Stegostoma tigrinum: one gene and its partners. The protein of the gene in region 4 purifies or fractionates together with the protein of the main gene of each other region. This does not show direct contact. Links are inferred from orthologs where the notes say so. Each region holds a gene or a part of one and is shown on either strand. Other genes may lie near its edges.

Region 1 (7,196 bases), on a different chromosome or scaffold from region 4:
TTGAATTAATTCACGCGATGTGGAACAATTTGCAGATCAATCCACAGATGCCTTGAATTCAGAAGTGATTTATGAGAATGCTCTCTTGACTGGAGGATTTCAATATAGGGGAAAGAGTGGATAGGGTAGGGTCATTTTCTTTGAAACAGAACAGTCCATGAAGGGGGTTTATAAAATTATGAGGGTTCCAGGTAGAAAGGCTTTGAGTTAACGGGAGGAGGCAGGGTTCTAAACCCTGGGCACAGACTTAGGACAAAAGGTAGGTTTAAGAGAGGAGTTGATGGGAAATTGTTTCACTCGAAAGGTAGTGGGGATCTAGAGACAGAAACTGTCATAATATTTATGGAGTACTTGGATATGCGCCTGAAGTGCTGTAATCTAAAAGACTACAGACCAAGAGGAAAATGCTACATGGAGCTGGACAGTTCCTCATCGGCTGGCAAACAGAGCTTGCAAAATGGCCCAATAATTAGGTTGTGAGTTAATCTCAGCTCAACATATTTACTTCCAGCCCTTAACCATTATTGCTCACGATGGATTCAATTCCTTGACCAAGACTGGAAGGAGCTACTTCACCTGTCCCTGTAACTGCGTTAACAATTATCCTTAAAAGTATAGGGTCTAGGCCCGAAACGTCAGCTTTTGTGCTCCTGAGATGCTGCTTGGCCTGCTGTGTTCATCCAGCCTCACATTTTATTATCTTAACAATTATCCTGCTAGTCAGTTCAGAGTTTATGGGGAGGAGATCAAGAAAAGAAAAGCAAATCTCTAAGTAACAAATTGATCTGAAACAATCTATTTCCGTTAAGTCCAATCACAGGGCATTCATAAGGTGTAAGTCATAGCAGCAATGTGTTCACCAGTGTCTTTTTTAAAAGAAGTTTTTACACATTTGCCTGTCTGTCAGCTTTCCCTGCTTAGTATGGCACCTCTGTACTTAGAACACATTCCTTCTGAGCCTTCCACCCTCAGTGCAGAGACAGGTAGATTATTACGTAGAACTGTGACAACATACCAAGAAGCCATTCAGCCCTTCGACAATAATCTAATCAGTACCATTCTCAGACCCTCCCCTGTTCCATTCTCACTGGTCCTACACCATTCCTGTTCCACCCCATATCCGTCCCTGGTCCCATGTGCACTCCTCCATGGCTTTGTGCCCATCAGCCCCTTTCAGAGAATCCCGATAGTATGGAAGCAGGCCATTCAGCCCATCGAGCTCACACCGGCTCTCTGACAAGCATCCCATTCAGACCCACCCCCCAACCCTATCCCTGTAACCATGCATTTCCCATGGCTAATCCACCTAGCCTGCACATTCCGGAGCATTATGGGCAATTTAGCATGGCCAATCCACCTAATCTGCACATTTTTGGATTGTGGGAGGAAACCAAGTCAGACAGAAATTCCAAGATGGCGGCAGAGTATGACACTCCAGCCGGACCTCAACTGCACTTCTTTTTCTTTTCTTCACTTTTCCTCCCTCCTTTTGGTGTTTTTTCCCTCTTCTTCTCCTCCTCCTCCTCCTCTCTTGGCCTCCAACGACTCCTGGCCAGGCGGAGCGGCCTCCCAGTGTGGCAGTCTGAAGCGAACTCCCATGCTCACAATCCTGAAGGTGAAGTCTGAAGTCTGGAGCCTGGGCCTGGTGCGGACTGGGCACTAGGTGCCACTGTGGTCTGGGTTGGAAGACCATTGTTCTGAACTTTAATTTCTGCAACACTGGGCATTTTATTTCCATGCCTTCTAAGATCTTGTAACTATGTACCCCTGTGCCGAAGATGGCGCCGCAAGCAGCAATGGATAAAAACTTTTCACTACCCTCATTGTGTACTTAGGACAATAAAGTTAATTCATTCACATGCAGACCCTACACAGTCAGTCACCTGAAGGTAGATTCAAACCAGAGTCCCTGGCACTGGGAGACAGAAGTACTAACCGCTGTGCCACCCATTCTCTCATTCCACCCATTTCTTGCCCCACAATCCCATTTTCCTTCTACTCTGCTGACTTCCATACCTTTCACCATACCCTGGCTCTTGTCACCACATCCCATTTGCCCCTTCCTCCCAAATGGCCCTGTTTGCCCACTTTGCCTCCAACTCATCTTGCTGCCCCTCTGACCCTTATACTCCTACTTGACCCCATGCCCCAAACCCAGCCTTCCGGTCCCAGATAACAAAGCGTGGAGCTGGATGAACACAGCAGGCCAAGCAGCATCTCAGGAGCACAAAAGCTGACATTTCAGGCCCAGACCTTTCATCAGATAGGTCCCAGTTTTGTCCCCCAACCTGTTCTGCTCCATTTCCCCCACTCAGTTCCAACTCCCCTCAAGCACCAATCGGATATAAGTTAGGAAATCTGTGTGTGTCACCGCGATGACCCTCCTTCAGCAGGCAGCATGTTACAGACCGGTGCGGGGTAGTCCTTCCTCACGTTCAACACCCACCCCTTGCCCCCGCCCGTCCCAAACCCCAAAACACCTCGAATCCCACCTACCACAGAGACGAGGGTCATAACATGTCTGAGCAGGTCGATTTAAAAAGAGAGACAAAAACATGCACAACCATCCGTGGCAGGAGAAACTATGGGCCACGTGTGCCGGGTCCATGCGGTTTGAAAGCAACGCTGTAAGATGCTGCATGTATCTCCCCTGAGGTACATTCAGGGACACTTGGGGGCCGGAATGGAACGTTGCCCAGGTGCTCCCGGGGAACGTTCCATTCCGGCCCCGCGTGCTCCCGGGCAACGTTCCTCTCCCTCCGCGCATGCCCGGCCTTCTCCGGAGTGCCGTTATCGAAGCCCGTGAGCAAGGCCACAGAAGTGCGGCCACCACGTCGAAAGAGAACTAACGAACAGTCGATCTTAGCAGAGCAGAGGTGGCAACATACCACGTTTGACTGCTTCAGGAACTGCTTGGCAGCCTTGTCGAACTTATTCTGCAGCAGGAAACCGTAAATCTGCGGGTACAGGTCGCTGGGCACCACACGCGCGTCCATGTTGCGCACAATAACACGTCCTCCCCTCCCCCCGCCCCCCCGGTCTCAGTACCAATCGCCTACACCTCACTGATGCCCACTGCGGCTGCGCGGAGTCTGTGCAACACGTGACCCAGAGCCGGCCGGCGTTTTCTGCGCACGCGCGGATCCGTCCCAGGTGCTGACGGCGTTTTAAAGTCATTTAGACTCGAAACGTTAACTCTGCTTTCTGTGCAAGATGTTCTGAGTTTCTCCAGCAGTTTCTGATTTTTGCATTGTAGGGCGTTCTGAAGAAGGGTTAGTGGACTTGCAACGTCAACTGTGTTTTCTCTCTGCACAGATGTTGCTACTTTTCCTGAGCAGCAATTTCTTTCTGTCTTGCAGGAGTTCTGAAGGAGGGTCACTGGACTCAATTTGTTAGAACATAGAACACTGCAGCATTGTACAGGCCCTACGGCCCACGATGTAGTGCCAACCTACTATCCTACTAAGATCAAACTACCCTGCATACCTTACATTTTATTATCCTCCATGTGCCTATTCCAAGAGTCACTTTAAAGTCCCTAAAGTATCTGACTCCACTACCACTGTGGGCAGAGCATCCAACATACTTTCTGACCACAGATGCTGCCAGACCAGATGTGTTTCTGTTTTTGTTTCATATCTTCAGCATTCACATTTCTTGTGTTTTGTTTTATTCGCATTGTAAGGCTTTTATGTTCACGGTGTAATCTGCATTGCATCACACGTACGGATCATTTTGACTCCACCTGCGTGTGCTAGTGCAGACAGACTTCACTTGAACCACTTTCCACTCTGCTGAAGCTCTCATCATACATTTCCCCACACTTTACCTCTAGATTCAACAATACCAATGCAGTCCTGACCTGTCCACCAATAAAGGGGATGTTGATGGCTTAGAGATACAGGCTACTAGACTAGGTGGGATCGAGGTTCACAAGGAAGAGTTATTAGAAATCCTACAGAGGGTGAAGATAGATAAGTCCCTTGGGCCGGATGGGATTTATCCTCGGATCCTCTGGGAAGCCAGGGAGGAGATTGCCGAGCCGTTGGCATTGATCTTTAACTCGTCATTGTCTACAGGAATAGTGCCAGACGACTGGAGGATAGCAAATGTGATTCCCCTGTTCAAGAAGGGGAGTAGAGACGACCCTGGTAATTATAGACCAGTGAGCCTTACCTCAGTTGTTGGTAAAGTGTTGGAAAAGGTTATAAGGGATAGAATTTATAATCATCTAGAAAAGAATAAATTGATTAGGGATAGTCAGCACGGTTTTGTGAAGGGAAGGTCATGCCTCACAAACCTTATTGAGTTCTTTGAGAAGGTGACCAAACAGGTAGATGAGAGTAAACCGGTTGATGACCTATCCCCTCCCTACCTCCCCACCTATACTCTCTCCACCGATCTTCTTTACTCTCCATCTTCGGTCCGCCTCCCCCTCTCTCCCTATTTATTCCAGCTCCTTCTCCCCATCCCCCTCTCTGATGAAGGGTCTAGGCGCGAAACGTCAGCTTTTGTGCTCCTGAGATGCTGCTTGGCCTGCTGTGTTCATCCAGCCTCACATTTTATTACTAAGGTCGGTGGAGTTGTGGAGAGTGACGAAGGATGCTGTAGGTTGCAGAGAGACATAGATAAGCTGCAGAGCTGGGCTGAGAGGTGGCAAATGGAGTTTAATGCAGACAAGTGTGAGGTGATGCACTTTGGTAGGAGTAACTGGAAGACAAAGTACAGGGCTAATGGTAAGATTCTTAGCAGTGTAGATGAGCAGAGAGATCTCTGTGTCCATGTACACAGATCCTTGAAAGTTGCCACCCAGATTGACAGGGCTGTTAAGAAGGCATACAGTGTTTTAGCTTTTATTAATAGAGGGATCGAATTCCGGAACCAAGAGGTTATGGTGAAGCTGTACAAAACGCTGGTGCAGCCCCACTTGGAGTATTGTGTACAGTTCTGGTCACCGCATTATAAGAAGGATGTGGAAGCTTTGGAAAGGGTGCAGAGGAGATTTACTAGGATGTTGCCTGGTATGGAGGGAAGGTCTTACGAGGAAAGGCTGAGGGACTTGAGGCTGTTTTCATTAGGGAGAAGAAGGTTGAGAGGTGACTTAATTGAAACATATAAAATAATCAGAGGTTTAGATAGGTGGATAGGGAGAGCCTTTTTCCTAGGATGGTGACGGCGAGCATGAGGGGGCATAGCTTTAAATTGAGGGGTGAATGATATAGGACAGATGTCAGAGGTAGTTTCTTTACTCAGAGAGTAGTAAGGGAATGGAACGCTTTGCCTGCAATGGTAGTAGATTCGCCAACTTTAGGTACATTTAAGTCGTCATTGGACAAGCATATGGACGTACATGGAATAGTGTAGGTTAGATGGGCTTGAGATCGGTACGACAGGTCGGCACAACATAGAGGGCCGAAGGGCCTGTACTGTGCTGTAATTAGATTAGATTAGATTAGATTCCCTACAGCGTGGAAACAGGCCCTTCAGCCCAACAAGTACACACCACCATTTGAAGCATCCCATCCAGGCCCATCCCCCCATAACCCTGAACACTATGGGCAATTTAGCATGGCCAATCCACCTAGCCTGCACATCTTTGGACTGTGGGAGGAAACCGGAGCACCCGGAGGAAACCCACACAGACAGGGGGAGAATGTGCAAACTCCACACAGACAGTCGCCTGAGGCGGGAATCGAACCCGGGTCCTTGGCGCTGTGAGGCTGCAGTGCTAACCACTGCACCACCGTGCCACCCCTAATGTTCTATGTTCTATGATGTTGTCACTGGACTACCAATCCAGAAACCCAGGAAATGTTATCAGCAGCAGCAGCGCGAGCAGGAGCTTGGAGCAGGAGCCTGTCGGGAAGCTGATGAGTCACTGTTTTTGAATCGTTAAAAAGCTTACCTCGTGAATAGGTGGAGGGACGCTGAGCAGGAGCCAACATGGGACTGGTGAGTAAGTGAGGTAATATATTTGTGTGGTTGCGTTACCTGAAACACTACTCGGGTAGTGTCTTCCACCCATCCTCCTCCTCTAACCGAAAAAAAGGTTCTGTGTGCTTGATTGGTAAGGTAACAAGTTTATTTTTTATTCTTTTTTTAAGTCTTTGGGAATTTAGAATAATGGGAACGGAGGTCAAGGCAGTTGAATGTTCCTCCTGCAGAATGTGGGAGGTAAGGATCACCACTAGTGTCCCTGCTGACTACCTCTGCAGGAAGTGCACCCAACTCCAGCTCCTTGAAAACCGCGTTAAGGAACTGGAGCTGGAGCTGGATGAACTTCAGATCATTCGGGAGGCAGAGGGGGTTATTGAGAGGAGTTACAGGGAGGTAGTCACTCCTCAAGTACAGGAAAAAGGCAGATGGGTTACGGTCAGGGGACGGAATGGGAACCAGCAGGCAGTGCAGGGATTCCCTGTGGCCGTTCCCCTCAACAATAAGTATACTGTTTTGGATACTGTTGGGGGGGATGACTTACCGGGGAAAGCAGTGGGGCACAGGTCTCTGGCACAGAGTCTGTCCCTGCTGCTCAGAAGGGAAGGGGGAAGAGGAGCAGAGCATTAGTCATTGGGGACTCCATAGTTAGGGGGACAGATAGGAGGTTCTGTGGGGACGAGAGAGACTCACGGTTGTTGTGTTGCCTCCCAGGTGCCAGGGTCCGTGATGTCTCTGATCGTGTTTTTGGGATCCTTAAGGGGGAGGGGGAGCAGCCCCAAGTCGTGGTTCACATTGGCACCAACGACATAGGTAGGAAGAGAGACGGGGATTTAAGGCAGAAATTCAGGGAGCTAGGATGGAAGCTGAGAGCTAGGACGAACAGAGTTGTTGTCTCTGGTTTGTTGCCCGTGCCACGTGATAGTGAGGCGAGGAATAGGGAGAGAGAGGAGTTGAACACGTGGCTACAGGGATGGTGCAGGAGGGAGGGTTTTGGATTCTTGGATAATTGGGGCTCTTTCTGGGGTAGGTAGGACCTCTACAAGCAAGATGGTCTTCACCTGAACCAGAGGGGTACCGATATCCTGGGGGCGGAATTTGCTAAGGCTGTTCGGGTGGGTTTAAACTAATTCAGCAGGGAGATGGGCACCAAAATTGTAGTTCGACTATAGAAAAGGTTGAGAGTAGGGTGGTCCGAAATAAAGTTTCAGGGAAGCAAGATGGCACCGGCAAGCAAGAAGTTGGATTGAAGTGTGTCTACT
Region 2 (6,939 bases), on a different chromosome or scaffold from region 4:
AGGCTTCCCCTTACTGTTTAAAGAAAACAGTCGATTTCAGCTGTAATTATATTTTATGACCCAGTCTCTATAGCATAAGAATTCCATATATTCATTAACCTTGGAGAAGTTCTTCCTACTTCTGCCCTAACTAGGCAACTCCTTACTCTGTGATTGTGCCTTTTGGTCCAAATCACTTGAATACAGAAAACAAAATTTTCACATCTACCTTACATGCCCAAGAACCTTATATGCAGTTACCTAGTTTATCTTTCTCTCTTTTCTAAAATAACTGAGGGACACTTGTAATTGTCCAGTCCAAAGGTACAATTCTCAAACTAAACTGAATCTGTGGCATTTCTAAGAATAAAACTGGAACAATACAAATTTCAATTGATCTCCATTCCCGTACCTTGTCCTCATCTTTTGTTTTGATCCATTTGTGGATCAATTTCAAAGGAAAATTTTTAACAAGAGTTATCTTCCTTCATGCATATCCAAATTACAGTACTTCTGACATCACATGTAGGACTGATAGTTACAACAATGCATTAGAAATACACCGAGTACCAGCATTTACACAAATTTGGACAGAAAATTCAAACATTTCAACTAGATTCAGCACCTGCAACAGTCCACAATACTCCAGTACTGTACTACCTTGAGACCATTTAGAAACACAAATACATTTTAAATCAAGAAAGGTCTCAGAGATACTAAGAACTGCCAATGCTGGAGTCAGAGATAACACAGTATGGAGCCGGAGCAGCACTGCAGGCCAGGCAGTATCAGAGGGGCAGGAAAGTTAACGTTTCGGGTTGGGCCCCTTCACAGGCTCCATACTGTGTTATCTCTTAATCAAGAACAGTGGGGCTTTGCTAAAAATAGGCAAAAGGTTTCAAAAATCAAGACATGTAATCAGCCGGGGTCCACCAGGAGGATGATAATACATCAGTTCCTCTACGTCCATTGTCCTACAAGTCCATTGTTTCCACTGTAACTCAAAAACACTATTCTCTAGGTAGTAGATACTATCTTAAATCAGGACACACAGTTCCTGAAGTATCTCAATAATTGCACAGGAGCTCTACAGAGGACAAATTTAAATACTGCTGGACAAGAGGAGTTATGGCATTCACTCAAGGCAGGGGGACAACTTTACAAATCTATAACGGCATGAGATCAACTCAGCTTTGGGACTAGAGATAGTTTTGCAGTCAGAACGAACAATAAGTCATGACTGCAGAGCCAACTGCTAGATTTAACAGATCCACATGAGTAAGCTCTACATCATAATATTGATTTGGGTGCAGGTTGTTTTGGGCAGGACAATTACATTATTGTTTCCCCAAATCCCTCGACTGCCTCCTCCCTCTCTCTCTCAAGGATGGAGGATGTTAATCATTCTATGGGTGCAGTTTATCCCCACCATCTTGCATAACTGCGCCTTTTCAATGCCTAGACAGTTGGTACTGACAAGTTTTCTGAATGTGTAGCATTATAGTTCGGCCAGGTTCTCTCTCTACTCAAGCACTAGCATTAGTTAGAGGACAGTTATCAAATTAGCCAATGCTGAGAATATTGGCTGATGTTTCCCATGTGTTAAGGTGTTTTAAAGGCCAACTGTCTCAAACTTGACCTAAACGAGAAAAGGTATTCAACCCAGACTGGAAATGTAACCTGGATCATCTTGGTTTATACAGAGCAATAGCACACCAAGCAGTACATTTACCCAGTGTGCAAATTGAGAGAGGCAGGTAATAAGGGAATGCCACTTAGATCCAAGACGAGATTTTTTTTTAAAACACAGAGTTCTGAACTTTTGGAATTCTATGCCCAGAGGTCAGCACAGGCCCAGTTTTAAATATGTTTAAGAGACTGATAGATTTGATTACCTGTAATATACAGGATTACGGAGATGGGGTGGGGAAAAAGGCATTCATGTGTTCGACCAGCCACGATTACACTGAATGGCAGGGCAGGCTTGACAGGCTGAATGACCAACTCCTGTTGCGATATAATCCTGAATCTACAAATAAGTCCAAAATGATGTTCATTTTTTTTGCGCAAGTACATGCCTGCACTTCAAAATTAAGCAATCTGTAGCATGCATAAGATTTATAGATGGTTCTGCAGAATTTCACACTTCAGGGTAAATGACTTTCGACAGGAAGGATCTTGTAACCTGTTGCTTTACTTGCTCACTTTCCTATAAGAGAGTCTTCAATCAACCGAGGAATCCTTGGGATCCTCGTAAATTTTCCCAAATTACCCGATCCGCGCAGGGTTACTGGAAACTGAAATCTGGCGATTTGATTCAGTTGAGAACCAATCTTTTAACTCGGGGTGGGGGAACGGCATCAACTGGGATGCACACCTCAGACTGCAACACACTGCAGATCAGAGACAAGGCCATTTACAGGGATCAGTTTGCACACAAGGCCAATTGGGGACATGTGACATGAGGTATCAGCACTGGCACGGGAGGACAGAGAGAAGGCAAAAGGGCCTGCTTGGTAAAGGCAGCCCTAAAGGGCCGCCCACACCAATCCCCCGCCTCAACAACCTCAGGCTCCAGATGCATCGTAGCCGGCTCCTCGCTCGCTGTTATTGGCGCAGAGCGGGATCCCGGGTGTGGGGGCCCTCTACTACCTCAGCAGCTCCGACAAAGCCAAGACAACAACGGGAACTGCAATTCCTGACCCAGCTTCCCGCCCATGAGGAGCCCGAGGCCTAAAGGCCGAGTGCGGGGCTACCGCCAGTAAGAGGCCGAGGCCTACGATTTGTGTGCGCGAGCGAGTGAGCGGGGGGGGGGGGTGGGAGTTAGAGTAATCGCCGCTTCCCCTACACCCACCCCCCCCCGCCCGAGGACTCACCTGCACTTTAGTAGGCGGTATGCCGCAATGGGGGCCAAGCCGAGCGGGGCCGGGCCGCGCTCTGAGCGAGGGAACGGCGAGAGCGCGAGGCCGGGCCCGAGGCTGCAGCGAGCGAGCGCGAGCCGGGCAGCTCCGCCATTAGCGCCCGCCCATTGGCCGGGAGGAGTCAGCTGACTGTACGTGCCCCCCCCCCCACGACCTCGGGACACGCCCCCTTCCTCAGCCCAGGGAAAGGAAGAACCGAATGGCCACACGCCCGCTTGGACCCGGAGCCCGTTAGGGACGAACACAACCGCAGGCGCTGGAATCCAGGTAGACAAACAGGGGGCTGGGAGAAAGGAGCGGTCAGTGTTTTGGGTTTTACCCCCGCCCCCCCCCGCGTCCAGTCCTGAAGACAGCGAATGGCCGAAACGTTCACTGCTCCTTGGCCTGCTGTGTTCTTGTCCGGCCCTCGCCCGCCCCCGGGGATAACGGGAACTGCAGATGCTGGAGAATCAGAGATAACAAAGTGTGGGGCTGGATGGCTGGCGTTTCGGGCCTAGACCCTTGGTCAGAAAAGCTTCTTGATGAAGGCTCTGGGCCTGAAACGTCAGCTTTTGTGTTCATCCAGCCCCTCGCCTTGTTATCTCACCGGTTCCCGAGGCCTGTCCGGCCGTCAGCGGGAAATATTCAAACAGGGACCGCCTTTGCAACCAGTTCATTGGGCACATTCAGTCAGCTGATCTGGGACTTGAGTGAATGTGAGGTTGTGGGTTTCGGGGATTGTTGCCGCTGTTCAATGTCCACGGACGGCGAGGTATCTGTACCAAGCCCTGTCGGGAGGGGAATCGCTATGCCATGCCCGTACTTCATACAACTGTACAGCTCCGGAACAGGCCGTTCGGCCCACGAGATTGTGAGGAACATGACACTAAATTAAACCAATGCGCTTGGTACAAATCCCCGCATTCCTACCAAATTCGTGTGTTTGTCTAAAAATCCCTTAAATGCCCTTTATCGTATCTGCCTCCACCACCACCCCCACCAGCGCGTTCCAGAGTCCTACCACTCCATGTGTATAAAAAAAACTTGCCCCTCACATCTGTTTTGAAAATTCCCCCGTCATCTTAAATGCATGCCCCCAATAATAAAAATTTCAACTCTGAGAAATAGATTCTGACCGTCGACACACTCTATGCATCTCATAATTTTATAGATTTCTATCAAGTCTTTCCTCAGCCTCCACTGCTGCAGTGAAAACAGCCCGAGTTTTTTTTAACCCTCTCTTTGTCAGGTGAACTTGGATGTCAGATGAATGAGTGGCGCTCTGAAAGCGTTAGGGTTAGGTTTTGTCGTGTGACTTCTGACCCTGTCCACCCCAGTGCAATGCCAGCACCTCCACATCGTGTCCCTAATTAGGCTATACTTTTCCAAATGCATATAAATCCTATCTGTAAGAAATCTCGAGTAAAAAGGTTCCCAAACAGTGTGAGACTCAATGGTCTATAGTTTCCTGAATGATCCCTATTTCTCTTGAACGAACATTAGCTACTTGCTAGTCCTCCAGGAGCCCTCCAGTGGCTAATGAGGAGACAAAGATCTTGGTCAAGGCCCCCAGAAATCTCCCCTGTTGCCTCTTTCAATTACCTGGGTATTTACCATCAAGCCCTGGGGACACATCCACCTTAATGCTCTTCAAGAAACTCAAACTGCTTCTTTCTTGTCCTCAAAATTCCCTGGTATATGAGCATGCTCCACACTAATCTCACTATTTTCCATTTCCTTCTCCTGGGTGAATACTGATCCTAAGTACTCATTTAGGATCTTGCCCACATTCTCTACCTCCAAGCACAAGTTCCCTCCTTTATCCTTGAGTGACCCTGCCTCCTCCCAAGTTATCCTCTTGTTTTTAATGTTTGTACAGAATGCCTTGAGATTCTCTTTAGCCCTACTTGCCAAGGTCATTTCATTGCCTCTTGCCGCTCTTCTCATTCTCTGTTTGATTTCCTTTCCTGCTTTCTTTGTATTCTTCATGGGCCCTGTCCTATTTTAGCTTCCTAATCCTTACATATGCTTCCTTTTTTCCTTTTAACTAAATTCTCAATCTCCCTTGTCATCCAATGGTCCCTTACCTTGCCATCCTTCTCCTTCCTCCTTACTGGAATGTGCTGATCTGTGATTGCCTGATAACAGGTCCTCCCAATTAACACTCCCTAACTCCTGCCTAATATTTTCCCTCCCCGAATTCAGTGCCTTCCCACAAGGTCCTGACTTATTCATAGCTACAAAAACAGAAATTACTGGTAAAGCTCAGCAGTTCTGGCAGCATCTGTGAGGATAAATCGTCAGAACTGTGGGAGGGTCACTTGACCCGAATGGGAACTCTGATTTCTTTCCACGGATGCTGCCAGACCTGCTGAGCTTTACCAGCAACTTCTGTTTTCCTTTCTGATTTGTATCATTTGCCATCCTTTCCATTTTTACTTATTCATATTTATCCTAAAACTTAAGGAGTTGTGATCACTGTTTCCAAAATGCTCTTCCACTGAAAGGCTGTCACCTGGCCAGACTCATTAGCCAAACAAGGTCAAGTATGACCCTTCCTCTAGTTAGGCTATGTACATACTGTTTCAGAGAACATAGAAAAGTACAGGCCCTTTGGCCCACGATGTTGTGCCGTGGAATAATCCTAATCCAAAAATAAAATAACCTAACCTACACTCCCCTCAATTCACTGCTGTCCATGTGCATGTCCAGCAGTCGCTTAAATGTTACTAATGACTCTGCTTCCACGACTTCCACTGGCAAAGTATTCCATGCACTCACAAACCCCTTTGGATGCACTTAACAATTCTGCCCAGTCGAAGTCTCTTGCTCTAAGGGAGGCTCAGTCATTATTAGGGAAGTTAAAGTCATCACTATGACAGCCGTGTTGTTGTATCTTTCCATAATTTTCCTGCATACTTGATCCTCAATGTCTTGGTGGCTGTTGTATTAATCCTATTGGAGTGATTGCACCCTTCTTATTTTTGAGCTCTACCTGTATTGCCTCAGTGGATGTGCCCTCCAGCATGTCCCCTCTGAGTGCAGATGTGACTTTCTCCCTGATTAGTGATGCAACTGCACCTCTTTCACCTTCCTTTTCATCTCATCTAAAACAACAAAACCTGAAAATTTGAGTAACCACTCCTGTCACTCGTTAAACTGAGTCTCTATTGGTGACAACATCATAGTCCCATGTAGTGATCCAAGCTTTAAGCGCCCCAGCCTTACCTGTAATACTCCGTGTGATGAAATAAACACACTTCAGCCCATTAGTACCATCGTGCCTGCCCTTTCTTTCTGATTCACAGGTCCTAACATCTATCTTCCCCTCAATTCCTCCACTTGCTGACCTGCCGCTCTGGTTCCAATGGATCAGATCCAAGCTCGAAGTCCTGCCATATCCTGTCTTGAATGGTGATAAGACAATTGCAGAATTCAGTGGAGGAGAAGGTTGTACTAATGTTCCCATCCTCAATGATGGAAGGGCCCAACACATTAGCACAAAGGATTAGGATGCAGCTACAATTGCCAAGTGGACAATCCATCTCTGCCTTCACCAGTGGTCACCCGCATCACCAATGTCCATCTTCAGCCAATTTGATTTACTCCATGTGATATCAAGAAATGGTTGGAGGAACTGGATGCTGCAAAGACTGTGGGCCCTGACAACATCCAAGCAATAGTACTGAAAACTTGTGCTCCAGAACGTGCCACTCCCCTAGTCAAGCTATTATTTGTATTCCAGTACAATTACAATACTAGCATCTACTCAACAATATGGAAAATTGCCTAGGTATGTCTGTACATAAGAAGCAGAACAAATCCAACCTGGCCAATTACCGGCCCATCAGTGTACTATCAATCATCAGTAAAGTGATGGAAGGTGTCACTAACAGTACTATCAAGCAACACCTGCTCAGTGATGAGTTCTGCCAGGGCCACTCAGCTCCTGCCCTCATTACAGCCTAGGTTCAAAAAGAGCTAAATTCCAGGGGTGAGGTGTAAATGACAGCCCTTTTCATCAAAACCACATTTAACCAATTATGACATCCAGGAGGTT
Region 3 (7,429 bases), on a different chromosome or scaffold from region 4:
CCAATACTCACCTTTCCTGGCTCCATCCCTGCCTCTTTGACCTATCTGTCTCCTCTCCACCTATCTTCTCCTCTATCCATCTTCAATCCGCCTCCCCCCCTCTCCCTTTTTATTTCAGAAACCCCCTCCCCTCCCCCTCCCCCTTTTCTGAAGAAGAGTCTAGGGCTGAAATGTCAGCCTTCCTGCTCCCCTGATGCTGCTTGGCCTGTTGTGTCCATCCAGCTCTACACCTTGTTATCTCAGATTCTCCAGCATTACCAGTTCCTACTATCTCTTGATCGTCAGGGAGTCTGATTAGGAAAACGGAATTATCATAAACTCCCAAGAATTCACAATGAGCCCAGGAAAAACCAAACCAATTTCTGCCTATTCAACAGTGCCTTGCATTTATATAGTGCAAGGTGAACCAGTAAGACTGCAGAATGTTAGGAATGGGAGATGATCCTTTGTTACAACGGGTTATCATGAAAACAAAAGGTGTATAATAGGGGACCGACAATCAGAGAATAACAAGTGCATAAGAGTACAGGGGAGACTTAGTGATACAATCCTATTTACCCTCTCAGGAATTCTCAAAGTGCCGATAGCCAATGAACTATTGTTCTGAAGACCTTCAATTCCCTAGATGGTCGCTCATGCCTAAGGAACTTTTACAAGCAGCGGAGGCTAAAGCTGTTGCCAGCCGTTCAGTGGGTAGGTACAAAGTGTACAAGGGTGCACTTGCAAGCCAGGAAGCGGCCAGTATAGGGTTAACTGACGGGCATTAACCATTGGCGATCTTTCTTAAACAGTGCAGGGGTAACAGCAGCAATTTACCGATCGGGGGGAGGAAACACGACAGGAGGTCACCGCCGCTCGCTGCATTACGGAAGCGGGGGCTGGGTAGGGAGCTCAGTTGTGCCAGGGCTGCTCTGGTCCAGCAACGCCTGCACTCAGGGGGAGCTGCGATGCCCCTGTCGCTGAACGGCATACCCAACGTCCCATCTCGTTGGACAAGGCGACAAAATAGGCAACTGCGACACCAACAAACAAATTTTCCAGGGAATCACTGGGTGAGAAGTGCTCTCTGTTGAACTACACAGCAATAGCAAGAATTTGTTGGAAGGGAATGCACCAGTCCTCTGTTTTATTTAATCTGGGGTGAATAAAACAACCTGCTGCTTTTCTTCAAATCTTCCCATTTCCCCTCAAAAACGAGCAATCCATATTGAAGTGTATCCTCCTCCAGTGCCAATAAATAGTAGCCAGGAAACTACTCAACAGTTACATGCCCTTCAAACAACACGGCAGTTATCTTTCTGCAGTCACTGCTATTGTCCTTGAGTCTCATCAGCTTAGAAGGCCCGGGGCTGGGGGACAAGGGGGAACCGAGGTAGGTCTGCCCCAACAGCAGCAGCATTGACAAGAACAGCCCCCAGCAAAAACAGACAGAGCCCTGCCATCAGCTCCCGCTGGAGGCCGCAGGGAAATCTCTCGCTCGTTCATCGCCCCGCACACAACACGCAGCATGAGGATGGCCACACCGTGCCAACTCTCAGCTGGCATATTCAACAAACCAGCAAAAGGAGCAAGGCATTCTCAAACAAAAGGCTCTCTGGCAAAGAATGCTCACACACATGCACATATACATGCGAAGACAGGGGAATTCCTTGCTGCTAAAAATAAGGCCATTGTTTGACTTTTCAAAGTGTGGGATTTGGGGATTCACTGTACGCTTCGGATGTCGCCCCCAGGGTCCAGCTCACGCCCCTAAAAGCGCTCTGTTCCCACACTGGACAGAGCAGACCCAGTCCATTTAGATTTTTCTCTCTCTAGGGGATTGGGTAATGTTATTACACATTCCCAACAAAGAGCTCTGGCTCCTGCTCGCTTCCAATATCCTCTGTTTCTTTCACCAGTCGACCCTCAGCGATTTCCCAGTGCCCTCATCCAAAAAACGCACGCCAAATACCCTCCTTTCAAAAAAAACCCGCATTGTTTTAAACATCACGGAGACTGAAACACACATGATCATAACCTTAAATAAGTCATGCATTGACCTTACGTGTGTTCTCACAATACATTTCTTGTCTCGTCAGCTAGGAAACAATCTCAATGCAATTTCCATCCTAGTTTCTATATTTTAGTGTCCTTTTTTTCCTCTCTGAAGGTCTTTTAGTTGTAGCTTCCAAAATATACAAATCCCCCAGGCAAGAGAGAGCCCTTTACCAGCTCTCCCCCAACCCCTCTCCCCTCTTACCCGAGATCTCAGCTGAAGGCACCGCGGTCACCGAGAACCCTTTGGAGTTGTACAGCGTTCTCATGTCCAAACAGGTCTTGGGTCTCTGGTCTCCCACAACAGGGGAGGGAAGGAGTCCCAGTAAAGCCAGGCACAGCGAAATCCACATCATCTTCGCAAGGACGGTGCAACCAAATCAAGAACTGAGTGTGTGTGTGTTTTTTTTTGTTTGCACAGGAGACACACAAAAAAATCCAAAATCGAGTTTTCAAAAGAAACTGGGATCAACGTAATCCAAACAAAAGTTTCCCCAAGTCAATTGCAGGAGGAAAGGAATTCCAACCGACTCTTGCTTTTTTTTGTTCACCTCTCTCTCTCTCTGGCTTGTGACTTACAATCTTCAGCAAAGAAACGCGAATTTCAATTTATCTTCTGTAGTTGCCGATGCAAACGGGTTCATTAATGACTCAGTTAAAAAAAAACACAGCCCACAGACCACACAAAGGAATACAATTAACAAATGCTACTTCTAAAATACATGAACACAATCCTGGGAGTCTTCTTCTTAATTCCAATTCTGCCCTTCCTTCTCTCCCCCAATGAGTTTGTTACCGGTTGTAGTAGTTTCGGGATGTATGATGAAGAGTCTCGAGAGTTGGAGAAGGTGTGTGTGTGTATGTGTATGTGAAGAATCTGTCCGACCTGGCACAGACAGAGACAGAGTGCCCACCTCCTACCTCTGTCTCTCTCTGTGCAGACGATGCCTTACTGAGTTTTCCAACTCCACCCCCAAAACCTCTAGCAGGATGTTACGACAGACGCGGTCTGGGACCAATGAAGACGGCCCCTGGCTTTGTCAATCACCTCCCTTTTTTCTCTTCATTGTCGGTGAGCCGCAGGAATGTCTTCTTATCCTCCCATCAGAGTGCCAGTGAGCAAGTGTGCACTGCTGTCCCTGTGTGTGTCAGTGTCTGTCCGCCTTTATGAATCTTCCATTCATTTAACCCTGTCAGCCACACACCTCCTCAAATTTACAACGGGGAATGGACTCAAGTGATCCTAATTCAAACGCACTGTTCACCTGGTCTGTAAATGCATTGCAATTTTCAAGAGAAAGAATTCCTTATTCCCACAGTGATGTGCGGGGAAGTGGGAGAGCCACTAAAATAGCCTTTTGACTGAGTCTACTGCTTACTTTTTGCCAATTGTGTTACGGAGATAACCAGGCCCCGGAAAAGATTTCAAGTCGGATTGATAAAGGAGGGTTTCGTGGTATTGGGTTCCCAACCTCTAACCTATCGCCCCTGAGCTGGAACAGGACTACTAAGGTCTGGTCTTTGTGTGTACTGCTTCCACATTGCCACTCCTGCAGGTCAAAACAATACCTATCATCAACTCCTCTGTCTGTGAAGGCAAAACAATCAAGTATAAAAGACACGCCTGCCTTTAGGTGGGAGGAATGAACAGGACGTTTCGGAGATCTGAGTTTGCCATTCTGAACAAAAGATCTGCTTTAGGGATATGAATTTTAAAACACGGTTCAAATAGAAAGAATTTTACAATCTCCACTCCTTAAAGAGGTTGAAAGTAATTAACCATTACAGTTAGACAGTAAAACAGTTGCATTGTAAACCATTGGGTTACCGCCTCTGCCTCACTTTTCAGAAATTGCGATGTAAGTTGTCCGTCATGTTTGCCAGAAAGAGCTCCAAATAGTGCTTCACAGTTAATGTTTTTAAGGATGGGAATCTTTAAGTATTGCGGAAAAAAATGGATCAATTTCATCATCTGCGAATACCTGGACTGAGTTTTTCATTAAAAGTTCTCTTTAGGCATTGGAACATGTTTTTAAAGTCAGGCATTTCGTGGAAACCTCCTGGTTTCAACAAATTGCTGGACTTGTATGGTGGAGGACACCTGTCTGGGTTTATTTTAATCACCAGTGAATTCGTTTCTGCATTTTCAATGTTTCGGATTCGGTATTGGTCCTTTAGCTTGCTGAAGGAAAGAAGCTTCCCAGATCAGCTCTCCTGTTTCTGAAAAACAAAAAAAAGTGCATCCATTGTGGTACTGGAACTCAAGATTCACCTGATCTCATGAGAACCATCTGAGGAGTTTGTCTTGATATTTCCTGAAACATTTGCAAACATCCCAGGGACGACTGTAGATGAATAGACTCTTGTTAACATGCCAGAATATCTGAATGAATGTCATCTGAACTTTCCACACCTCATCATTTTTACCTTCAAGAACTAACAGCTATTGGACAAAAGTTTTCTTTTCCCAAAGTGAATCTCTGCAGAGAAATCAATTTTCTTGTTTCCCTTTACCAGTAGTGTTTATGTATGTATGTGTTGGGTTATTTAGAAGGCTGAATGTTTACACTTCCATATCATGAATTGTTTGCTATCACTGACAATCGATCCTGATCCACCCACGTAGACACTATTGTCAGAAAAGCACAACATGCCTTTTGTTCCTAGCTGTGTTTGAAGTGCAGTGATACAAAACATATATCACTGAAAATGAACAGTCTAAAAGACAGTCATGAGACTAGCCTTGTAACATAGTCATTCAGCACAGAAACAGGCCCTTCAGTTCAACTCGTGCATGCTGACCAAGTCTCCCAAACTAAACTAGCCCACTTGCATGCATTCAACCCATACCCATCCAAGCATTTCCTGTTCATATGCTTGCCAAACGTATTTTTAATGTGACTGTGCATGCATCTACATTTTTACTTGATCAGAAAGTGAATTTGAATCAAGCATTGATTACTCATTGTATGATGAAGTACTTCCTCATAACATTTTAAATTTACTGAATATAGGTTTCAATTTGCCCTGTTCTTTAAATTTTATTTGATGTAACATGACAAATTAACATTTTCATTTCCTTCACTATTTTATACAAATGAACAAATTAGAAGCAGACAGGGCCTGCTCCATCATTTGTTAAGATCATAGCTGATCTGGTTGGAGAATGTTTAGATTAGGATTCATCAAAATAATTTGCCCACAAATTCTGTGTATGAGGGCTACGGTTACATCGAGAGCCAATTTTATCAATGTATACTTCAAGAGATGGTTTTCTTCCCAGGCCCACATTTAGAAAAAGCGTCAATCTGAAGATAAATCTTCTGAAAATAAGCCATCTGCAGAAAAGCCATCATTCTCCAGCAGGTCTTACCACTCCTAGTGACTCATAAATCTCATAGAAACCTATTGAATTCCAACAGGACTAGACAGAGTAGATACAGGATGTTTGCAACAACTGAGGAGTCCAGAATCAGGAGTCACATTTTAAGGTCATTTAGGATTAAGACAAGGAGAAATTTCTTCACCCAGAAAGTTGGGGGCCTTTGGAATTCTCTGGCACAGAAAACAGGTTAGGCCAAAACATTGAATGTTTTCAAAAAGAAGTCAGATATGGTTCTGAAGATAGAGGGATCAAAGGATATGGGGACATGGATGAAATTTGGACAATATCTGCAGGAGAGAAACCATGACTGGACACTCATGAGATGCAAGTACTGAGATGAATGTGAGCAGTGGGTTATTAAATTGGAGAGTGTGTAGAAAAGATTTACAAAGATGTTACTGGGGCCGGAGGGTTTGAGCTATAAGCAAATGCCTGACACTGGACTGGAGCGTCGCTGGAGTGTAGGAGTTTGAGAAGTGACCTTTTGATGTTTATAAAACTGTGAGGGGCATAGATAAAGTGAAGGGGCAACTTTTTCACACAGAGGGTGGTTTGTATGTGGAATGAACTGCCACGAGAAGTGAAAGGTGCAGGTGGAGTTACAACATTTAAAAGATATTTGGAAAGGCACACCAATAGGAAAGATTTAGAGTGATATAGGCCAAATGCAGACAAATGGGACTTGTGTAGTTTGGGAAACTTGGTCAGCATGGACAAGTGGACTGAAGGGTCTATTTCCATGCTGTGTGCCTCTACAACTCTAAGTGACAAGAAAGGACAAGATCGAGAATCAGCACATCCGGGTATCAGATTGTGAGACCATCAAAGAAGCCAGCTGAAAAGTCATTACAAGAGTATGGCCATCTGTTGTGGAGAGAAAGAGGAAATGTGATGGAGTTGGGCCTACCTGAAAGAAGCAGAGGAGGAAGACCTGAAACCAGATGGAATTGCAGTTGTAAGTGGCCCAAAGTAAAAGGGGAAAAGTGATGCCTCTATGACTGAAGCCTATGTTGATGGCACTGAAAATGATACATTAGGAACAAGAGTACACCAATCAACAAGAACATGGCTGATCTGATTTCACACTTAGCTCCATTTTCCTGCATATTCTCAATACCCTTTGTCTGCTTTGTGAGTTAAACGTTGATCTACTTCTGCCTAAATCCTCTGCATTTTAATCTTAATTGACGGATCCAGACTTCCAAGCAAGGTTCAAAATCTTTGTAAAAGCAGAAACATCTTTTGGCATCCACCATATCATAGAATCATAGAGGTCTACAGCACGGAAGAATGCTCTTTTCCCATCGAAAAAAAGAACTGGTCACAAACAACTATCTAACTATTCTAATTCCATTTTCCAGTACATAGCCCATAACCTTGAAGCCTCATATGTCATCTTAGGCCCTAATGTTTCAATAAGATAACCTCATATTCTTCCTGATTCCAGTGAATAGAGAACAAGTCTGCCCAATCATTCTTCATAAACTTCATAAGCTCCCAAATCCAAGGTACCATGGTCAACCATTACTGAGATAGCTGATCTCACTGGGGAGAAAACACTTAACGAGGTGACCTTGGGGTAGATCCTGATTTTAACAAATAAAATTGGATGACAGTAAGTCAGCAGCTCTTCAGTGTTGTGCTTTGTGGTGTATGTAGTTATTACAAGTCAACTGTGTGTGCCCACTTAATTCTTAGTTTCTTTGTCACGTTGAGTGGGCAGTTCTACCATTACAATGGTTATTCCACCAGCAAACCAAAGGCCAGAAGTTGCACTAAGATGGTGAAAAGTCACAGAGACTCCTGACAGAAACAAAAATTAGTGTGCCGTGGACAAGCAGCAGAATCCCCGCATAATCCACCTTCTGAAAGCTACTAGAACAATGTCATCGAAAGCAAAGGTATTAGACTCCCAGAAGAAGGAGTTCAATTTAGTTCAAATCTGGCGAAAAGCCAGTGGCTCCTATCTCTGCCATTGTAGGAACTGCCAATGCTGGAGTCTGAGATAAC
Region 4 (7,830 bases):
TTGCGAGCTTCCTTGATACATAAAACAAAGACATTTATACGAGTCAACTTGAGAAAAACTGAACGATCTTTCAGCAGTGGCCCTCTGCACTGGTTGAGAACGAAATAAAGGTGCAAGGGATGTTCACGGGCAATCCGATTATAATATTGCAAACTCCGGATTTACAGTGTAGCTTTTTACGAAGAGGGCAGCGCAGTGCAATCGCAAGCACTACTGGGATTAAAATATTTGTGACTTCCAGCAAATTGTCACAGTACCAGAAGGAGATTTATTCTGTAGCTGGTCATTAATTCGAGTCCGGGACCCGTGGAAGTGACACATGGAAGCCCAGAGAAATGTTTAATTCAAGCTTCCTATGAACTTGTACCCAAACATGGGCCCCTGAAGAATCAGTACTGAGGATTTGAGAGCAAACCTGCCCATTTTATACCATATTTCCTCCACTTGACTTCTCAAGTCAGCTTCCAAGCCGAAGTGACAAACCAGAATGACAGCAGATAGGCAGACTCATCTTCAGTACATCTTCTCCCAGTTACGTTGATAAATCCTTCATTTTTGTTAAGACCCAAACTAAAACACATTTTACTGATCAGGATCTTTGCCGCTGGAATAGTTTAGGTCAGATGTGCAAATATTTAGCCTTTCTTACTCAATGACTCAAATTACAAATGCAATATTCTCCAAATCAAAACAGTCCCTCCAAATTTAAAGCTGGATACTCTGAACTACTATTATTTTCCTGCGCTGTGGGAGCGTTAGGCTGGATATAGCATTAGGGCGAATGGGATCAAAGGAGAAAGCATTAGGCTATTGAGTCGGACGATCAGCCATGGTGGTGATGAATGATGGAGCAGGCTGGAAGGGCCGAATGGCCTCCTCCTGGTCCTATCTTCTATGTTTCTATGAAGAATAAGGAGCTCAGTTGAGTTATATTTGTATTATCAACCAGTCAGCGGGTTATTGAAAGGGAATAGGAAACACTGGAATACATAACGTGATACGAATGAGGGAGGAAGAAATCTTTTACGAGTTTTGTGTTTTTTTAAGAAAGGAAGCTAAATGTGGAGGGTAACGCGGACTGGAATGATTATCCCGGGAGAATGAAGTATCTTTGGACCTGGGATCACACTAGCACACTCTCGCTGATGACAATCTGCTTGAAAAGGCTGTACTTCAGTTACGTAGCTGGATAATTGTGTCCAGAACGGAGCATTTGCGAACTCAAGAGTGCGTTATAAAGTGCAGCTTCAACAACTCGTTCGAACGTTGACAAATTACAAAGATGGGAAAGTAACAAAAAAAAAGGTACCTTCAGAAGTGTATCTAGATTTTTGGAGGGGAGTGGGGGCGAAGATGTGAAATCTGGCGCCGACACATCGAAATCTCCGCAGTATTATGTAATAGTAAAGAATTAAGCTCTGTTTTTTCATGCATGCTGCCTATCCAAACTAAATAGGCGCGACGGTCAAAGCTTTATAGCACAAAGCACAAACTTGACTCTTGTTGTGGAAAATGTTACAGGGTATATATGTCCAAAAATCCAGCCCCTCACACAAACACACACGTGCAAAAACACTAAAACTGACAAACTATGTGCATTTTCCATAGCACCTCCAGTAAAGTGCTGTCCACTGTAACTCTGCTAGTAACCACTTCATGCAGACGAGGGTGCTGTTGTACAATCGAGTCCCCTTCATACATGTAACAGATTTAAACCCCAACACAGCTCTGACTAAAAGCAAAATCTGGATTGCTTCTAGTGGAAGTTCTTTTTTTCAAGATTCATCTCTGAGAATATTTTGAAAATAAAAGGATTTTTTGTTTAAATTGCTGTGCCATGTGGATCAGTCCACAATCACCCTGCAACAACAGTTTAAGCTATAGACCCAGGTCACAATTTTCTTCCAGCGGCATTATCTTTCCACTTAACACATGTTTCCAAACAGAATGACAGCACCCGGCATTGTTGTGCGTCCCAACTTTGTTTTCGGTGTATAAGAAACTCCAAGTGCTTGATTATCCAGGGTGCTGGCAATTCCACACACACAGACACACACACACACACACACACACACAGGTACACATACACACAGGCAGACAGACACAGACAGATACACATACACACACACACAGGTACACATACACACAGGCAGACAGACACAGACAGATACACATACACACACACACAGGTACACATACACACAGGCAGACAGACACAGACAGATACACATACACACACACACACACGCACACAGGTACACATACACACAGACAGACAGACACAGACAGATACACATACGTACACATAACACAGACAGACAGACACAGACATACACACACACACACACACACACACAGATGCACACATACTTCCAAACTGAATACAGCCCAAATTTGGAACACTTCGTCAACAGCCTAGCATTGGTGACCAGGCACTTAAAAAAACTTAACCAAAATGTAGCCAAAAAAATGAGGCAACGTTAAAAGGTATTTTAGATCGCCGCTTTAACCTGTGATTCTACAGACAACGCTTCGAGCCGGCATCCCCTGCAAATCTGCCAGTACAGCCAAATACAATACTTACTTTGTTATGCTTTCACTTGGTGGACGTGTGGTCTAATTCCTGCGGCACCTGTCCGGTTAAATGAGTCCCAAGACTGTGTTATTTACAAGAGGCGATGAAAGGGACTGGAGCCCCACTCGCTGAGTTCTCTGCTCTGCTTGGAGGAGAAGTACGATGCTCCAGATGGACCACTGCCCCGCGAACCATGGGCTTCAGTCTCTTCAGGGAGCCACATGTGCTGCTGTCCGATCAGTTGCTGGATGGTGTTTGAGTCAGTCAGAGAGTGAGATTCAGGCAGAGCGAGCTGGGAGCCAGGCAAACAACACTAGTCAGAGAGACCAGGAAAGAAGCGGAGCAGCGCAGCGCTGGATACACACTGACTTCAAGCGATTAGGCAGGAACGGAAGAGGGGGAGTGTACATTACACACCCAGCACAGGGAGGGAGTGTACATTACACACCCAGCACAGGGAGGGAGGGTACATTACACACCCAGCACAGGGAGGGAGTGTACATTACACACCCAGCACAGGGGGGAGTGTACATTACACACCCAGCACAGGGAGGGAGGGTACATTACACACCCAGCACAGGGAGGGAGGGTACATTGCACACCCAGCACAGGGAGGGAGTGTACATTACACACCCAGCACAGGGAGGGAGGGTACATTACACACCCAGCCCTGGGGGGAGTGTACATTACACACCCAGCACAGGGAGGGAGGGTACATTACACACCCAGCACAGGGAGGGAGGGTACATTACACACCCAGCCCTGGGGGGAGTGTACATTACACACCCAGCACAGGGAGGGAGTGTACATTACACACCCAGCACAGGGAGGGAGGGTGCATTGCACACCCAGCACAGGGAGGGAGTGTACATTACACACCCAGCACAGGGAGGGAGTGTACATTACACACTCAGCCCTGGGGGGAGTGTACATTACACACCCAGCACAGGGAGGGAGGGTACATTACACACCCAGCACAGGGAGGGAGTGTACATTACACACCCAGCACAGGGAGGGAGGGTGCATTGCACACCCAGCACAGGGAGGGAGTGTACATTACACACCCAGCACAGGGAGGGAGTGTACATTACACACCCAGCACAGGGAGGGAGGGTACATTGCACACCCAGCCCTGGGGGGAGGGTATATTAGAGACCCAGCCCTGGGGGGAGGGTATGTTACAGACCCAGCTCTGGGGGGAGGGTACATTATACACCCAGCACTGGGGGGAGTGTACATTACACACCCAGCTCTGGGGGGAGGGTATATTACACACCCAGCCCTGGGGGGAGGGTATATTACAGACCCAGCTCTGGGGGGAGGGTACATTATACACCCAGCACTGGGGGGAGTGTACATTACACACCCAGCTCTGGGGCGAGGGTATATTACACACGCAGCACTGGGGGTAGTGTACATTGCACACCCAGCTCTGGGGGTGAGGATACATTACACACCCAGCACAGGGTGGGAGGGTGCATTACACACCCAGCACTGTGGGAGTGTACATTACACACCCAGCTCTTGGGGGAGGATACATTACACATCCAGCACAGGGAGGGGGGAGTGTGCATTACACACCCAGCTCTGGGGGGAGTGTACATTACACACCCAGCACAGGGGGGAGGGTACATTACACACCCAGCACTGGGGGGGAGGGTACATTACACACCCAGCTCTGGGGGGAGGGTATATTACAAGTGTGAGGTGATGCACTTTGGTAGGAGTAACCGGAAGGCAAAGTACTGGGCTAATGGTAAGATTCTTAGTAGTGTAGATGAGCAGAGAGATCTCGGTGTCCATGTACACAGATCCTTGAAAGTTGCCACCCAGGTTGACAGGGCTGTTAAGAAGGCATACAGTGTTTTAGCTTTTATTAATAGAGGGATTGAGTTCCGGAACCAAGAGGTTATGGTGAAGCTGTACAAAACTCTGGTGCAGCCGCACTTGGAGTATTGTGTACAGTTCTTGTCACCGCATTATAAGAAGAATGTGGAAGCTTTGGAAAGGGTGCAGGGGAGATTTACTAGGATGTTGCCAGGTATGGAGGGAAGGTCTTACGAGGAAAGGCTGAGGGACTTGAGGCTGTTTTCATTAGAGAGAAGAAGGTTGAGAGGTGACTTAATTGAAACATATAAAATAATCAGAGGGTTAGATAGGGTGGATAGGGAGAGCCTTTTTCCTAGCATGGTGACAGCGAGCACGAGGGGGCATAGCTTTAAGTTGAGGGGTGAAAGATATAGGACAGATGTCAGAGGTAGTTTCTTTACTCAGAGAGTAGTAAGGGAATGGAACGCTTTGCCTGCAATGGTTGTAGATTCGCCAACTTTAGGTACATTTAAGTCTTCATTGGATAAGCATATGGACGTACATGGAATAGTGTAGGTTAGATGGGCTTGAGATTGGTATGACAGGTCAGCACAACATCGAGGGCCGAAGGGCCTGTACTGTGCTGTAATGTTCTATGTTCTATATTACAGAACCAGCTCTGGGGCGAGGGTACGTTACACACCCAGCACTGGGGGGGGGAGAGTACATTACACACCCAGCACTGGGGGGGGATACATTTCACACCCAGCACTGGGGGGAGGGTTCATTACACACCCAGCACTGGGAGAGGGTTCATTGCACACCCAGCACCGGTTTGAGATATTGCAAACCCAACTCTGGGAGATTATTTATTGTACACCTAACTCCATAAGATTTATACCTATCTGTGTCAGATCTACTTTACACCATTCAGTACCCTCCTGCAATCTCCCAAGATTGACCACGAGTTCAGAGGGTTGTCCTGTACAGTTTATGAAGATAATTGCCAGCGATGGTTGAATTGCCTTCATTATACTCAGTGTAACAGGAATTGCACAGGTTGTGGTGAATCAGGCATGGTATGAAATGATTTCTCAATCGTTCCAGCAGGGAGTGTTTCTCATCTCAGTTTCTGTATTTGCTGAGATCCCCTGGGCCAGAACCCAGTGGTGGGTTGGTTTTCAAAATGAAAATTGCAGAAGTTCTCAAAGGATCCTCACAGGTTTTAATTTTGGTGCCAGGTCACACATGCACTGCTGATTAACACTCCTTAAGTTCCTTCATTATCCAAGGGCCCAAACATACCTCCCAGGTGAAGCAACACTTCGCCTGCAATTCTCAGAAGTTAGTCTACTGCATTCGCTGCTCACAATGTGGTCTCCTCGACATTGGGGAAACGAAGCGTAGACCTGGTGACTGCTTCGCAGAACATCTATGTTCTGCTCCAAAAAAGACCCTCAACTACCTGTTGCCTGCCACTTCAATGCACCAACCTGTTCCCTGGCCAACATCTCTGTCTCTGGCTTGTTACAGTGTTCCAGTGAAGCCCAGTGCAAGCTGGAGGAACTGGAGGAACAACACCTCATTTTCTGCTTGGGGACCCTACAGCCCTCAGGACTCAATATTGAATTCAATAGTTTTAGGGCCTAAACTCTCCCACGTCCCAGTCCCCTACCCCACACACCAGTCCTTGTTACCACACAACCTGCCACTACACGCCCCCTGTTGTTTATCACTAACAGTCCCCAATAACAACTATCCACCCTCTCAGCCTGATCGTTAGCAACTCCTTTGTCTGTCCAACTCTCTTTCTCTCTCTTTGGGCTCTATCCTATCGTTTACTCCCTACCCCACTCACCTCCCCATTTTCTGCATATAAACTGGCATTTTCCCAGCCACCATCAGTTCTGAGGAAGGGTCACCTGACCCGAAACGTTAACTCCTTTTCCTCCTCTACAGATGCTGCCAGACCTGCTGAGCTTTTGCAGCAAATTTGTTTTTGTTTATGTTCCTGCGAGATCTTTTCGTCCAAGGGACTGGTCACCCAATCTCTGAGGTGGAAGCTCCTTACTCGAGTTCCACTTAGTAACCTGGGGAAAACAAGTCAGTGATCTACCCGCAAATCTTGCCAACGTGTGCCTATAGGAGGTGGTTAGAGTGGAATAGTGTCCTTGTGAGCCATAGAAGGAACTTTGGAACCTCTTATAATCGCTATCCATTGCTCCAGGCTACAACATGGTAGGAAAATTGCAGTAAAAGTTCCTGACTGAATTGTTTCATGTTCTATTCTAAGTGGAGCTTATACTTACATATGTATAAACAAACTTATTAAGGGGCCTGTCTGTTCTCAAAATATCATTTTCTTTTCCCAACAAGGCCTAACATATTTCAGGGCAAAGCTGTTGGTTTTATTGTGGGGTTCAAATATACCTCCCCGCAATTGGAAACACCTCTCTGGGGCTGACTAGCACCTACATACACTGATCAGTTCCTTCGTCTGCTCCCTCACTGTCCCTGTTTTTCCACTTCCAGCAGCATCTTTTAATTACATCGAAAGGAAACATGGGATCTGCGCTTGTATTGTGGAACTTTTCTGGGATTTGAGTTCCTGATTCCGCATTGCAAACTCAATTTCCTGTCTCTCTGTCATCATCCTGTTTTATAGATCTTCAAGTTCTCTGTACTGCTTCAAACTTGGCCTCTTGGCCATCCTTGGTTTTAATGATTCTACCACTGGTGGTCAGGCCTTCAGCTGCTCAAGCCCTCAAATTTAGCAGGCCAATGATAAACCTTTCCATTGCATTGCCTCACTTCCTTGCTTTGAGTCACTCCTGAAAATCTGCCTTTTTGACTAAACATTTTGTGACCTGTTATAATTCTCCTGGTGCTTTTATTTTTAAATGAGTTACACAAATTATTGTTGGTGTAATGTACCATTAACAGTCACAAAATGCAAGTTTTTAGGTGTGCTGAGACCTTTCTACTTTTCATGAGTGTCACTGTTTACATTTAGCTACTTGTCTTTAACAACAAGCCACCAATTGAGAACTCTTTTCATTAAGAGTGTTTGTGGTGTTATGACTAGAGATTAAATCATATCCTCATATCCTTGAGTATCCAATTAAAGATTTTCCAAACATAGTCATACAGCATGGAGACAGACCCTTCAGCCCAACCAGTCCATACCAAACATAATCTTAAACTAAACCAGAGCCACTTGCCTGCAACAAAGAATCTGTGTTTACAGTGATTTCTATTCTTGTTAGCACATCTTCCTTAGTTACACCATTCGCAAATTAAAATGTAGCTGACCATATTTTTCAGAAACAACAATGATCCATCTTCCCCTCATCCTTTTCCAGCTCGGAGATAATGGGAACTGCAGATGCTGGAGAATCAGAGATAACAAATTGTGAAGCTGGATGAACGCAGCAGGCCAAGCAGCA

The links.
Region 1: the proteins of caM kinase-like vesicle-associated protein (region 4) and nucleolar and coiled-body phosphoprotein 1-like purify together in Homo sapiens (affinity purification with mass spectrometry; 3 studies listed by BioGRID and IntAct, counting the BioPlex papers as one, with this or other methods). This does not show direct contact. The link is inferred for Stegostoma tigrinum from reciprocal best matches to the Homo sapiens genes CAMKV and NOLC1.
Region 2: the proteins of caM kinase-like vesicle-associated protein (region 4) and zc3h18 purify together in Homo sapiens (affinity purification with mass spectrometry; 3 studies listed by BioGRID and IntAct, counting the BioPlex papers as one, with this or other methods). This does not show direct contact. The link is inferred for Stegostoma tigrinum from reciprocal best matches to the Homo sapiens genes CAMKV and ZC3H18.
Region 3: the proteins of caM kinase-like vesicle-associated protein (region 4) and glypican-1-like purify together in Homo sapiens (affinity purification with mass spectrometry; 3 studies listed by BioGRID and IntAct, counting the BioPlex papers as one, with this or other methods). This does not show direct contact. The link is inferred for Stegostoma tigrinum from reciprocal best matches to the Homo sapiens genes CAMKV and GPC1.

Annotation. Positions count from the first base shown.
Region 1 is NC_081390.1:19,023,915-19,031,110, forward strand, and holds the start of nucleolar and coiled-body phosphoprotein 1-like, read right to left. Parts: upstream 3,017-7,196; 5' UTR 2,997-3,016; coding exon 2,889-2,996; intron 1-2,888. UniProt on the Homo sapiens protein: Nucleolar protein that acts as a regulator of RNA polymerase I by connecting RNA polymerase I with enzymes responsible for ribosomal processing and modification.
Region 2 is NC_081369.1:66,842,995-66,849,933, forward strand, and holds the start of zc3h18 (zinc finger CCCH domain-containing protein 18), read right to left. Parts: upstream 3,002-6,939; 5' UTR 2,856-3,001; intron 2,009-2,855; exon of another isoform or gene 1,875-2,008; intron 1-1,874.
Region 3 is NC_081367.1:8,396,980-8,404,408, forward strand, and holds the start of glypican-1-like, read right to left. Parts: upstream 3,014-7,429; 5' UTR 2,391-3,013; coding exon 2,240-2,390; intron 1-2,239. UniProt on the Homo sapiens protein: Cell surface proteoglycan that bears heparan sulfate. Binds, via the heparan sulfate side chains, alpha-4 (V) collagen and participates in Schwann cell myelination.
Region 4 is NC_081364.1:13,128,070-13,135,899, forward strand, and holds the start of caM kinase-like vesicle-associated protein, read right to left. Parts: upstream 3,009-7,830; 5' UTR 2,585-3,008; intron 1,406-2,584; exon of another isoform or gene 1,310-1,405; intron 1-1,309. UniProt on the Homo sapiens protein: Does not appear to have detectable kinase activity.